3 linked regions of the Elephas maximus indicus genome follow. The protein of the gene in region 2 interacts with the protein of the main gene of each other region in a biochemical or structural test. Links are inferred from orthologs where the notes say so. Each region holds a gene or a part of one and is shown on either strand. Other genes may lie near its edges. The genes, in order: RELA, CREBBP and ZNF106.

What was found.
Region 1: the proteins of CREBBP (region 2) and RELA form a complex in vitro, tested with the Homo sapiens proteins (9 studies listed by BioGRID and IntAct). The link is inferred for Elephas maximus indicus from reciprocal best matches to the Homo sapiens genes CREBBP and RELA.
Region 3: of the proteins of CREBBP (region 2) and ZNF106, one has a biochemical effect on the other in vitro, tested with the Homo sapiens proteins (2 studies listed by BioGRID, with this or other methods). The link is inferred for Elephas maximus indicus from reciprocal best matches to the Homo sapiens genes CREBBP and ZNF106.

What each region holds. Positions count from the first base shown.
Region 1 is NC_064825.1:128,815,713-128,819,456, forward strand, and holds the start of RELA (transcription factor p65), read right to left. Parts: upstream 2,472-3,744; 5' UTR 2,351-2,471; coding exon 2,344-2,350; intron 1,735-2,343; coding exon 1,708-1,734; intron 1,612-1,707; coding exon 1,460-1,611; intron 1,293-1,459; coding exon 1,144-1,292; intron 4-1,143; coding exon 1-3. UniProt on the Homo sapiens protein: NF-kappa-B is a pleiotropic transcription factor present in almost all cell types and is the endpoint of a series of signal transduction events that are initiated by a vast array of stimuli related to many biological processes such as inflammation, immunity, differentiation, cell growth, tumorigenesis and apoptosis.
Region 2 is NC_064830.1:61,817,878-61,821,621, forward strand, and holds the start of CREBBP (CREB-binding protein), read right to left. Parts: upstream 2,341-3,744; 5' UTR 2,156-2,340; coding exon 2,071-2,155; intron 1-2,070. Other genes in the region: uncharacterized protein LOC126087487, read left to right, coding at 2,921-3,499. UniProt on the Homo sapiens protein: Acetylates histones, giving a specific tag for transcriptional activation. Mediates acetylation of histone H3 at 'Lys-18' and 'Lys-27' (H3K18ac and H3K27ac, respectively).
Region 3 is NC_064828.1:13,497,195-13,500,938, reverse strand, and holds the start of ZNF106 (zinc finger protein 106), read right to left. Parts: upstream 2,731-3,744; 5' UTR 2,556-2,730; intron 1-2,555. UniProt on the Homo sapiens protein: RNA-binding protein. Specifically binds to 5'-GGGGCC-3' sequence repeats in RNA. Essential for maintenance of peripheral motor neuron and skeletal muscle function.

The sequences.
Region 1 (3,744 bases), on a different chromosome or scaffold from region 2:
AAGCTGAGGCCTCCGGGCGTCAGTATGCTGTCTCCAGCAGAGCCTGGGCCCTCCTGCCTTGCCCAATTTGCCCTTCCTCCCTCCCTCTCCATCCCCTATCATCGCCCTCTGCTTAACCATCCCAGTGGCTCCCCACTGGGCTGCAATGAAACCCCGATTCCTGACCCTGGCTGAGAAGCGCTGGATGACCAGGCCCTTGCCAGCTTCCTCCAGCCCCATGGGCTTTTTTTCTGCTCCTAAGCAGCTGATTTTTTTTAAGACGCTAAACTCATTCCCAGTTCTGAGCCTTTGTATTTGTTCTTTCCGCTTGGAACATCCTTTCCCTGCTTCTCTATTTCTCACCATAGAAGTCGTAGCTGAGCAAGGGCTTCCCGGAGCTTCCAATCCAAAGCAATGACCCCCTGCCCTGGGTTATTCTCCTAATCTACTGTTGTTATGTTGTCGTATGCCGTCGAATTGATTCCGACTCCTAGTGACCATACAGAACAGAGTAGAACTACCTCATGGGGTTTTCTAGGCTGTACATCTTTACGGGGGCAGATTGCCAGGTTTTTCTCCCATGGAGCGGCTGGTAGGTTCAAACCACACACCATTCAGTTGGCAGTTGAGCGCTTAACCATTGCACCACCAGGGCGCCTTCCTATCTACTAGCCGGTTTTATTTTCATCACTGAAATGATTACACTCCACCATTCTCTCATTTACTTTCCCGTATATTTACTTGGCCCAGCACTGTGAGGTAGTCAGCTCCAAGGGAGACTGCTGGCTTGGTTTTCTTTCTTGGCACAAGAGATGGGGCACTGACGGACTCACCGTTCCAACCACAGTGCAGGGGTCCAGAGGTGATTAAGGCCCCATCCCTGCCCCAAGGAGCTCACATCTGCTAGAGAGGGGGGTCCATGAACAGATCGTTCCAAGACTAGGGAAGTCTGTTTGTAAAGCTGGGCCCAGGACAAGGGGTGAGGAACTCTGCCCTGTGGCCAGAAAGGAGTAACACTGTAACAGCTTGTGACTGCCCTGCCTCCTGTCCCGCAGCCCACCCCAGGCCTGTGGGGGGCTCACACGTGGATGCAGCTGCCCTGCCTCCTGTGCCTAGCCCCACCTCCTGTCCTGCCAGCCCACCCTGGGCCTGTGGGGAGCTCACCTGTGGATACAGCGGTCTGGGCAGAGCTCAGCCTCATAGAAGCCATCTCGACAGTCCTTCCCCACGAGCTCATGTGGGTGAGGCCGGTGAGGGGGGTCCTTGGTGACGAGGGAGATGCGAACTGTCCCTGGCCCTGTGTAGCCATTGATCTGTCCAAAGTACAGAGAACACCCTAGAGGCCCAAGAATTCCAAAGCCGACTCCCAGACACAGAGGGCATAGTGACCTGGAGGCAAGCCTGCCAGGGCTCAACAGGCCACTCCCCCACCACTCCATACCCCCAGCCTACCCCTGAGAGCTGGTGACGCAGTGCTGACCTTAATGGTGGGGTGGGTCTTGGTGGTATCGGTGCTCCTCTCGCCTGGGATGCTGCCCGCTGAGCGGCCCTCGCACTTGTAGCGGAAACGCATGCCCCGCTGCTTGGGCTGCTCGATGATCTCCACATAGGGGCCGGTGGCCTGGGCCGGCTCTGCAGGGGACATGGTGAGCCCTTATTAGCGGCTGCCCCACTGCCCCAGCTGTGGGGAGATCCACCCGAGCCACTGACGGAGGACAGTCCACTTACCCGAAGGGAAGATGAGAGGGAACAGATCTGGAAGACGAGGGGGCCAAGAGTCAGCATAAGCCACTGTCCATCCTCTGGACCCCATCCCCGCCAAGAGAATATGGAGCCAAGCGCCCACCAAAGGAAACTAAATCAGGGCCTGCTCCTCAAACCTGCAGTGAAGCTAAGGGGTGGGGTAACGGAGCCAGAAACACCTGTTTCCTACGGGAAAACTGGATCTGGTGTCCTTCCTCCCTTTACTTAGGGAAACTGAGTCAGGACCCTCTCTAGTTTCATAAAGAGAGCTGAGGGAGGTTTCTCCCCATCTCCTATGCTGAGGAGAAATCGACTCAGGCACACGTTCCCCTAACAGGGAAACAAAGTTAGAGTTACCCCCATGGACCACGGAGGGAAACTGAGTCAGGGTCTGACTCGCACCCCCACCCAGGGAGGAAACTGAGTCAAGGTCCCCTTCCACCCCGAGGGGAAACTGAGTCAGACCCCTCGCCGCCTGCCCCGCCCCGCGCCACCATCCGGCTCGGCCGCTCCCTGCGCAGCACCCGCCAGCGCAGGAAGGGGCGGAAGGCGTGCGAGGGCTCCCGCCACGGCCTCGGTGGCCCCGCGCGGCCACCCCCCGGGATCCGAGAGCGCCCTCACCTTCCATGGCCGGGGTCCCGGGGGCGGGGCCGGGGTCGCAGCTGGGCCCGCAGCGCGCGCTACAGCCGAGCCATTCGCCAGAGGCGGAAATGCGCCGCGCGCGCCCGACACCGCGTCACTGCCCGGAACCCGGCTGCGCCTGCGCGCTGCGCCGCCGCCGCCGGGAGCGAGTGCGCGCTGCTGGGGGCCCAGGAGGCCTCGCGCGCCGCTGGGGCCGGGAACGAGCGCGCGCCGCGCACGGACGAGAAGGCCGTCCGCCTAGAGCTGCTCCCGGCGCTGCGCGGCGGCTCCGCTCGCTCCCGAGGTCCGGCCCCGCCTGGAGGCGGGCCCGGCGATTACTCACAATATTTTTAGGGGATTTCGGGGCCCCCTCCCGCCGATCGGAGGAGTTGGTGATGTCACCCAGGTCCCGTCTGGAGCGAAGCCAGGGCCGCTGGGCTGCGGCCGCCCGCCCGCGCCGGGGAAGGCCCGGGCTGGCGGCGCCCGAGAGGGCCGGGCGGCTGCACTCGACCCGGGTTTTGTCATCATCGGTAAAGGTGCCTTTTGATGGTAGTTGCTTCAGAAGCTCTTGTTAATATCCTGTTCACCTCAGTCAGATGCCGTTGGGGGGCAAGAGAGCGCCCTGGCCCCACATCTGACAGTGGAGCTTCGCGGAGCTTGCCGCAAAGAGGGGTGGCCGAGGCTCAGGCCCGCGTCCCTGACGCCGGCGGGCCGGGTCGAGTGAGACCAGGGCTCGGAACCTCTCCGCTAAAGGGCTGGTTTGGGATGCAGCCGGACTGAAGCAGTGGGTGGCAAGGGACGCTCAGGGGTACAGTTGTGATCCTCGTCTGGATGGCAGGGCGCCTGCGTCTTGCAAGGATCCGCTCGAACCCACGGGGACACGTCCCCCGCCCGACCCCCCCCCCCAGGGTCTCCAGCTAACGTCCAGCCACAGCCATCGGTGGGGCGCTTCCATTCATTAACCGCGGCGTCTAGAGACGCCTCGGCGCCGGTATCGCCCCCAAGCCCAAGGCGTATGCGTGCCGGGTGGGGGTAACGGACTGGAGCTGGGCAACCCCTTACCCCAGACTGCCTCTTTCTAGAATGATGGTCCGTGGTGGGGTGCGGAGTCTTCTCCACATGGAGAGAGTTTTGTTTTCTTGGAATTCGTTTTAAATTAAGAAATCATTTGGGAATTGGAAAAGACTGGAAATTCTGATTAGCTTTCCCAGGCTCTGAAAAAACAGGAAGAGAAAAGTGAAAACAAGTTACCATCCCTCCCACTCATTTCAGTTTCTCCTGGGGACCTAGTTAGAAAAGTCTACTCACTTTTTTGGAGGAAGCTGACTTCAAGTCGAAAGAATGGATTATTGAAAATCTTTGCAAAATGATGTACAACCATGATTAGTCCATACATGATCC
Region 2 (3,744 bases):
CAACTAATAGACCCTTCTGTGAAAACGTGATGGACGTGGCCAAGGACTAAACTAAAGTAGGAGCATTAATTTTATTCTTTGGATTATTTAAAAGGGAGCCATTAGAAACAGAATCTTTTGTTCCACATTTGAAAAAGTAAAAAGAGCCTCTGTTTGTTCAAATGGTAAGGAAGAAAAAATGTTAAAAGTGGAATCCTTCCTGATAATCTATGTTGGGATTCCAAAATAAACACCAAACCCAGTGCCTTCAAGTCGATTTCCACGGATTAACAGCACCTTAATTAAATATCTGGCCATCCACTAACAGAACTACTCAAAAAAGCCATCCTTTGGGGTCCATGCTGGAAACAACACCCCTTTTTGCTAAGTCTCCAGTTAATCACTTGCTCCCTTATAAAACAAAACCTATGGTAACCTCATTCAACAACTGCAAAGCTGTGCAGCCACTCAAAAGTTACCCGGTTTCAGAGGACAAGCTTGAAAGCTCAACTTTCCTGGTACGAGCTGTATCTCTACGTTTCCTAAGACTGAAAACTTTTCACTTAAATATGGCAAGGTTTTAAGCAAATAATATCTGTTCTGCAGCAAAACGGCATTTAAAATATGGTTGTTACCAAATTTTTCACTTCGGATAAATTGAGACTTGTATCCCACCGCCCCCAGTTTAACAAAATTTTAACTACACGAAAACCAACTTAAGACCGATTTTTTAAAAAATTGCTTCTCTCATTTCTACATTATTACATGCCACTTTTCATAACTAGATCCCAGGAATTGTATTAAAACTGAAGCCACAAGATTTGTTTCAACAGCAGAACTAGATTTTTGTCTACGCAAATGGACAGTCACAGAAATACTTCCACAAGTTAAACAGCTGTGTCTAGTGCAAATCTGAAGGCACTGCAGCGCGATACAATTCGATTTGGACCCATTCATTATAAATTGATTTTCAGATGCTGTTACTCAAAGCCTGCACTGGAGAAAGGCAAATACTGTATTGCGCTGGAGACCAAAATCGCTTGCAGCTGCACCCAAGTTTTTACTGCAGAATCGAGAGCTCTAAAAGAGGAAATGCCACCGGCTGGTACTGTTACCACGAACCAGCCTAGAAAACCCAGCACTGTTAAGTGAAGCAAAAACTAACATGCTTTTCTTAGGCAACTGATAGGATTACTTAAGAAAGTTTTCATGGATGCTGTTTGATGAGAAGAAAAAAAAAAAAAAAAAGACGATTTACTCCATATTCTGCCAACATTTCTGGAAGAAAGGTAATTTCTACATTTCTTCACATAATTTTTTGCACATCTACACTGTAAAACCAAGACAAGCTCAAATGGAGGCTGTGGCTCAAATGAATCTATTCACTTTCTAAGTTTTATAAGTGAGATTAAACACATCACAGCAACCTTTACAACATCTTGCTAAGGGAGTTCAGGGTTTTGAAAAATGGGATGATTAGGTGACAAGAAGAGTCTTCAAAATAACTACTAAACATTTCCCCAGGAAACATAATCCAAGAAACTTCTAAGTTGCAACTCACAAGCTGGTGGCTGCGTGCGTGTTGGGGTTGCAGGGTTGTGAATACATTACCAATTCAGAAAACACACCAAGTCACCCTCTGGCTCCGAGATTTCTTTCCGTAGCCAGAAATCGTACCTTCCCTCCCCTGTCATTCCTCTAGACAGCCACGCGTGTGTGGACACATGGCCGCAGTCGGAGGCGTGTGATGTGACCAAACAGAATGAACACACTCCACTTTACTTTTTCTCCCGGGAAGTCTCATTCCTCTGCCACGCGACGGGGGCTAGCCAACTCCAGGAAGCCCAGCGCATGCAGGACTCGGGCCGAGTGACAGTCTTCCCCCACAAACTTCCACTCTCCCTGGCGGGGGCACGGGCCGGGGGCTGCGTGGGCCCCACTTCGGGCCGCGATCCACAGTCGGGTCTCGGCGACCCCTGCCCGACAGGCGCTCGCGGGGCGATCCTCAGTCGCGGAAGCCCTCGCCTTGGGTGGGGATGACAGCCCCCGTCAGGCTCCCGCCGCCCTGGGTCCGCCCGGCCCCCTCCTCACCTGTGCTGTCATTAGCAGAAAATCCAGGCGAGCTGAGTTTGGCTCGTTTCGGATTGGGCGGTCCGTCCAGCAAGTTCTCGGCCATTTTCACCTGCTCCCGAGGAGCGCCCCAGCACGGGCTCGGGCGCGGGTCGGTGGGCGCCGGCCGGCGGCCGAGGGAGCGGGGCGGGAGCGGGCGAGGAGGCCAGAGGAGGCGCGCAGGCCGGTGGGGGAGGCGGCGGCAAATCTCAGCCTCAGCAACAGCGCCCCGCAGCGCTCACCGAGCGCCCCCGGCCGCGGCCGCCGCCGCCGCCGCCCGCGGCCCCCTCATCCCCTGCCCGCCTCCTGAGCGCGACACGCCGCGGCGGGGGTGCTCCGGCGGCCCGGCCGCCCCCCGTGCCCGGCTGGCAGCGACGGCGCCGGCCCGGCGGCTCAGACGGTCCCCGGGAACATGGTGCCGCCGCCTCCTCGGCCGCGCTCCCCCCCCCTCCGCGCCCCACTTAATGGATTCACTCGCGGACGGCGAGGAGGGGGCCGGGGGTCCGCGCCCGCCCCGGCCCGCCGCCGCCGGGAGGCAAAACAATGCGCCGAGCGGAGCCGCGCCGCCGCCGCCGCGGCCCCCCCACCCCCGTGCCGCCGCCGCCGCCGCCGCCGCCGCCGCCGCCGCCGCCACCGCCGCCGCCGCCGCCGCCGCCGCCGCCGCCGGGCTCCGGGAGGCCGGGCCGAGGGGCGAGTGGGGCCGCCGGAGCGGGCGCCGAGGGCCGGACGGAGCGGACCGGCCGGCGGAGCGGGGTGCGCGGGCGGTTGTGGGGCCCGGGACCGGCGGGGCCGAGTAGATCGCGCTCGAAGCCCCGATCGGGTCCGCGACAAGATGGCGGCTGTTGATTCCTCAATTAAAAAAAAAAGAAAGTTTTTTTTCTTCTCTTTCCAGAGCCAGAACAGGGAGGGGGAGGGGGCGGGGCACGCCTTGCGTCACTCCCAAGCGTCAGCACGCACGGCCCCGCCCCGCCCCCTCCACCTGCGCCCGCCACGGCGGAAAGAGCCGAGTGCCCCAGGCGGAAAGGGCCGAATGCGCGGCAGAGGAGCTTGTGAATGCCTAGCCCGGCCGTGGGGCCAGGGCCGGGCCTGCGGGCCACTTGGCACCTGGCTTTTGGCGGCGACTCGGGGGCGGAGGCCCGGGCGTCGGGGCCTCGTCTGGGCGGGCCGCCCCCGGGCCCCGCGGTGCCACTGGGCCCCTGCCCGCCACCCTCCCCGACGACGTCCGGAGGGGAGGGCCGGGGCGACCTGGACCCGAGGCCGGGCCACTGCCCCTCTCCGGGTGCCTGTGACGTCGAGTGTGCAGGGTCCGCCACCAAGCGTGTGCAGATGGGAAACAGGCAGGGAGGGCAAAGTAATTCATTCAAGGTCGGCGAGGCAGACAGTGGCAAGGCCTGGATTCGAAACCCTCCAGGTAAGGTGGGGGCACGTAAGACTCCGGAGTCCCGAGCCCGATGCCATGGCGGGGCTTCCAGGTGCGACACCCTTACCTGCCGGAGAAGGGTGGTGGGCGCCACCTCCACCCCGAGCCAAGCGCGCTCTGCCCGCTCCTCTAGCGGAAAAGTTCCCATTCCCTCTGGGCTCAGGGCCTCAGGAGGCACTCTAGGACACCGCCACCACCTGGCACCCTGCAGGTGCTCCAGGCAGGTGTGGGGCCTC
Region 3 (3,744 bases), on a different chromosome or scaffold from region 2:
TACAGTTCAATATACTAATATCTCTACCTTTCTGGATGTTTGAAATTTTTCATAATAAAAAGCTTATTGGGAAAAAATTATCCCCTTCCCGTCCTGCTCCCCCGCTACCTCGGACACCACCTCCGGCTCCAGTGACCAGATTCTTTGTACTCTCCCAGAGATATTTTATTCATATATATGCAAATACATACAGTTCTTAAAAAACCACAGATGGTTGCAAAATGCTCACCTTCTTTTGCACCTTGTTCTTTTCATCTGATATATCTTGGAAGTCACAATTGGGACCCCGGTGATAACAGTGGTTAAGAGTTCAGCTGCTAACCAAAAGGTCGGCAGTTCAAATGCACTCGGTGCTCCCTGGAAACTCTCTGGGGCAGTTCACTCTGACCTACAGGGTCCCTGTGAGTGGGAATCGCCTCCACAACAACGGGTTTGGTTTTGGCTTGGTTTGGAGGTCTCAATTAGCATACGTGGAGCTTCTGCGTCCTTTCTAACGGATGCGTGATTTATTTAATCAGCCTCCTACTGGTGGACATTTAAGGAACATTTCTTAATATCCTCTTTCAGATTTAAAAAAAGGAGAAAAAAAAATTCACTGTAAAGTTTCAATTAGAGATTCGAAATGCTGGAAGGCAATTGGAGTATTCATAGGTAACCTAGCTGCCTACGTGCTCTTAGCACCAGTACACAAATTAATCTTAAACTTCCCACTAAAGTACTCCAATTACAAAATACATGATATGTATACTTGCCACTGAGCTATTCCATGTCCCAGGACCAAGTCAGCTAGAAGCTACCACTGTTCCCTGCCTCTCCCGTACAGCAGCCTTTAGACTACCAGTGCCCTACCCTAGATGTACAATAATCACCATTTCAGTTTTTCCTTTTAAAACACCTTCCTTCAAATCAAAGCAGTTACTTGTGAACTAGCTGGACCAGACTAGTTTCTTACCCTCTACCTCTTCCAGGCCGTTTTGAAGTTCCCTTCAAAAACCATATAGCAAGTACCTTTAATCTAACTCAAGACTCCTACCATCTCCAGATTAAGCCAGACTAGGAAGAAAGGCCTGGCTACTTTCAACAATTTTATCTGATATAGTGCTGGAAGATGAGTACTCTAGGTTAGAAGGCACTCAAAATATACAGTGGCCGCAACAACGGACTTGAGCATACCAACAATCTGAAGATGGTGCAGAACTAGGCAACATTTTGTTCTGTTGTACATGGTGTCGCTATGAGTGAGAGCCAACCCAACATAACCATTTTCTAGTCTCAATAGTTAACTAAAAACTGTAACAGCAATGCAGTTTGCGTCCCAACACAAGGGCTTAGAACACCTAACTTATTTAACTTGGCGTTAACAAGAAAACAACGAGCTTTGGTATCATACCAAAAAAACCCATCGTTGTCAAGTCTATTCCGACTCATAGTGACCTTATAGGACAGAGTAGAACCGCCCATAGGGTTTCCAAGGAGGGGCTGGTGGGTTCGAACTGACGACCTTCTGGTTAGCAGGTGTAGCTCTTAACCACTACATCACCAGTTATTCTTGGGCATGACACTGCCTGAATTTTACCACTAACTCTAGAGCTAGGTGAGCTTCACCATACTCTCAGTGACCTCATCTGAAATGTGCTGCAGAAAACCACCTTCCATTACAAAATTTTTTGTGACAGTCCTGAGAGTGCCTGGAACACAAGGAACAGGTGCTATATATATCCTAGCTGAATCTGAATACTGCCTTCCACTGTTTTCATTCACCGGCAAACTTGAGAGCAGGCCTGAAACGAATTTTAAGATTTCCTGTTGAGTTTAGAACAGTACTAGGCTCTTTGTAAATCCTAAACAGTTACTTGTGGTTTGAATAAATTCGGTATAAACCACTATGGTGAACAAAGTACTCATTTAAAGAAATTTCCTTAACATGCAGTCTCAAGTTGCTAAGAGCCATGGAAATCTCAAACTCCCCCATAGGATAGCTTAATCTTACTCTCAAAGATGATTACACTGAACAGATTGAAGGGGAGGGGGTATGAAGCATTTCCTCACCATAAATATGCACCGAGATTCAGTCTAAATATTACATGGACAAATAGTAAGCGCTCCAGAATTAGTAGCTATTATTAAGACGCATTCCACAAAGAAGACGGAAGGAGGAAAAGGAACGAGACTGTCAGTCATGAGAAGTCGAAAGGTGTCCCTGGCCTGACACCCGCAGGCCTTAAAGCACCAGGGTGTATGGGGTTCCAGCCCGACCAGGAGCCGAAGGAGTTCAGCGACCTCCCCTAAACGGCAAAGCTTTGGAGCCACCCTTCCTGCTGGGGCTGGAAGCTGAGCCGAAACGCCCCCGCGAGAATCTGTACCCCGAAGCCAGAAGCACCGCCTACGAAAAGCCCGCGTGGGCTGGGAAGGGGGACCACAGGGCTGCCCCGCTCCGCGGCCGGCAGGAGCAGACCCCCGGCCCCTCGTGCAGCCCCACGACCCCCCGAAGGGTGGACCACCAGGACCCTCGGGCTCCGATACGCCTCAGCGCAGCCGGGCTCCCCGATACTCACACTCACAGACGATCCCTCTTACTCCATCGCGCCGCCGAGGCCCCGGCAAGGGAGCTCTCCGACCCACCCGGACCCCTTCCCCAGTTTTGGGTCCGGCGGCCCGCTCCGGACCCGCTCCCCGCCGGGCACAGCCGCCGCCACCGCGCAGGCGCACACCCGCCGTGGCGCTCTTTTTTTTTTCCTTTGCGGTTTGCCTTTCTCAATAATGTAGCTTTATTTGAACACACGAGCGTGAACAACGGACACGGAGGAAGAAAGCGGCTTTACTCGGAAAGAGTGGGAGAAGACCGAAGACTCTCCCGATTTGCGGAACAGTCGGTCCACTGCCACTGGACGTTGCTGTGACCAGCCCACCGCCCCCCGCCTGTCGCTTTTTTCTTCTTGTTCTTTCCGGGCCTCCTCTCGCTCTTATTCTTTTCTTAAATCCTCAACTCATTTAGGCGTGGCAGCTGTCGCCGCTAAACCACTCACTACTTCCTTCCAAAACTCTTTGAAGCTTAATGAAGGTGCGTGGGCTTTGGAACAGATAAGACCTGACTTCAAATCTTAACCCAGCTATTGTGACTTTAGGCAAATTCCATGTTTTCTTGGAACCTCAGTTTTCTCTGAGTTAATATTATGATAATGATATCCCATCTCTCAGAGTATTGCTAGGATTAAATGAGAGGTCAAGTGCCTGTCACAGAACACACATTCTAATACTCATACTAATGATTATATTATTCATATACAAAGTAACTTTATTATTGACCTTACCTCATACCTTAACCCTCAGGATCCTATTTTAGTGACTTAAACTAGTCAGATAAACCAAGTTATATTAAAGTTGATAATGACGTGAAGTGTTACTCTACCTATATTGTTGAACTTATAATATCCGTTTAACAAGACCTTCAATGCCTCTACCTATGTGTAAAGCCAGATTGCTTCTAGAAGTTTAGGAAACTTCCAATTCTGTATTTGTGACATCACAAGTCCTTGAAACAGTCAAGAACTGGGGTAGCTGCTCATTCTACTCTCCTTTAAAGGCATGCAATGGAAGGGCCACATTACCCAATAAGCTCAGGGCCATACTCTAAAGATAAACCTGTAGAAGACCAAGGTCCTAACTGGTGAACATCAAGGTAACCCTGGGTCAAAACTTCTCAAACTTGGCACTGACATTTTGGACCGGTCAATTTTTTGTTGT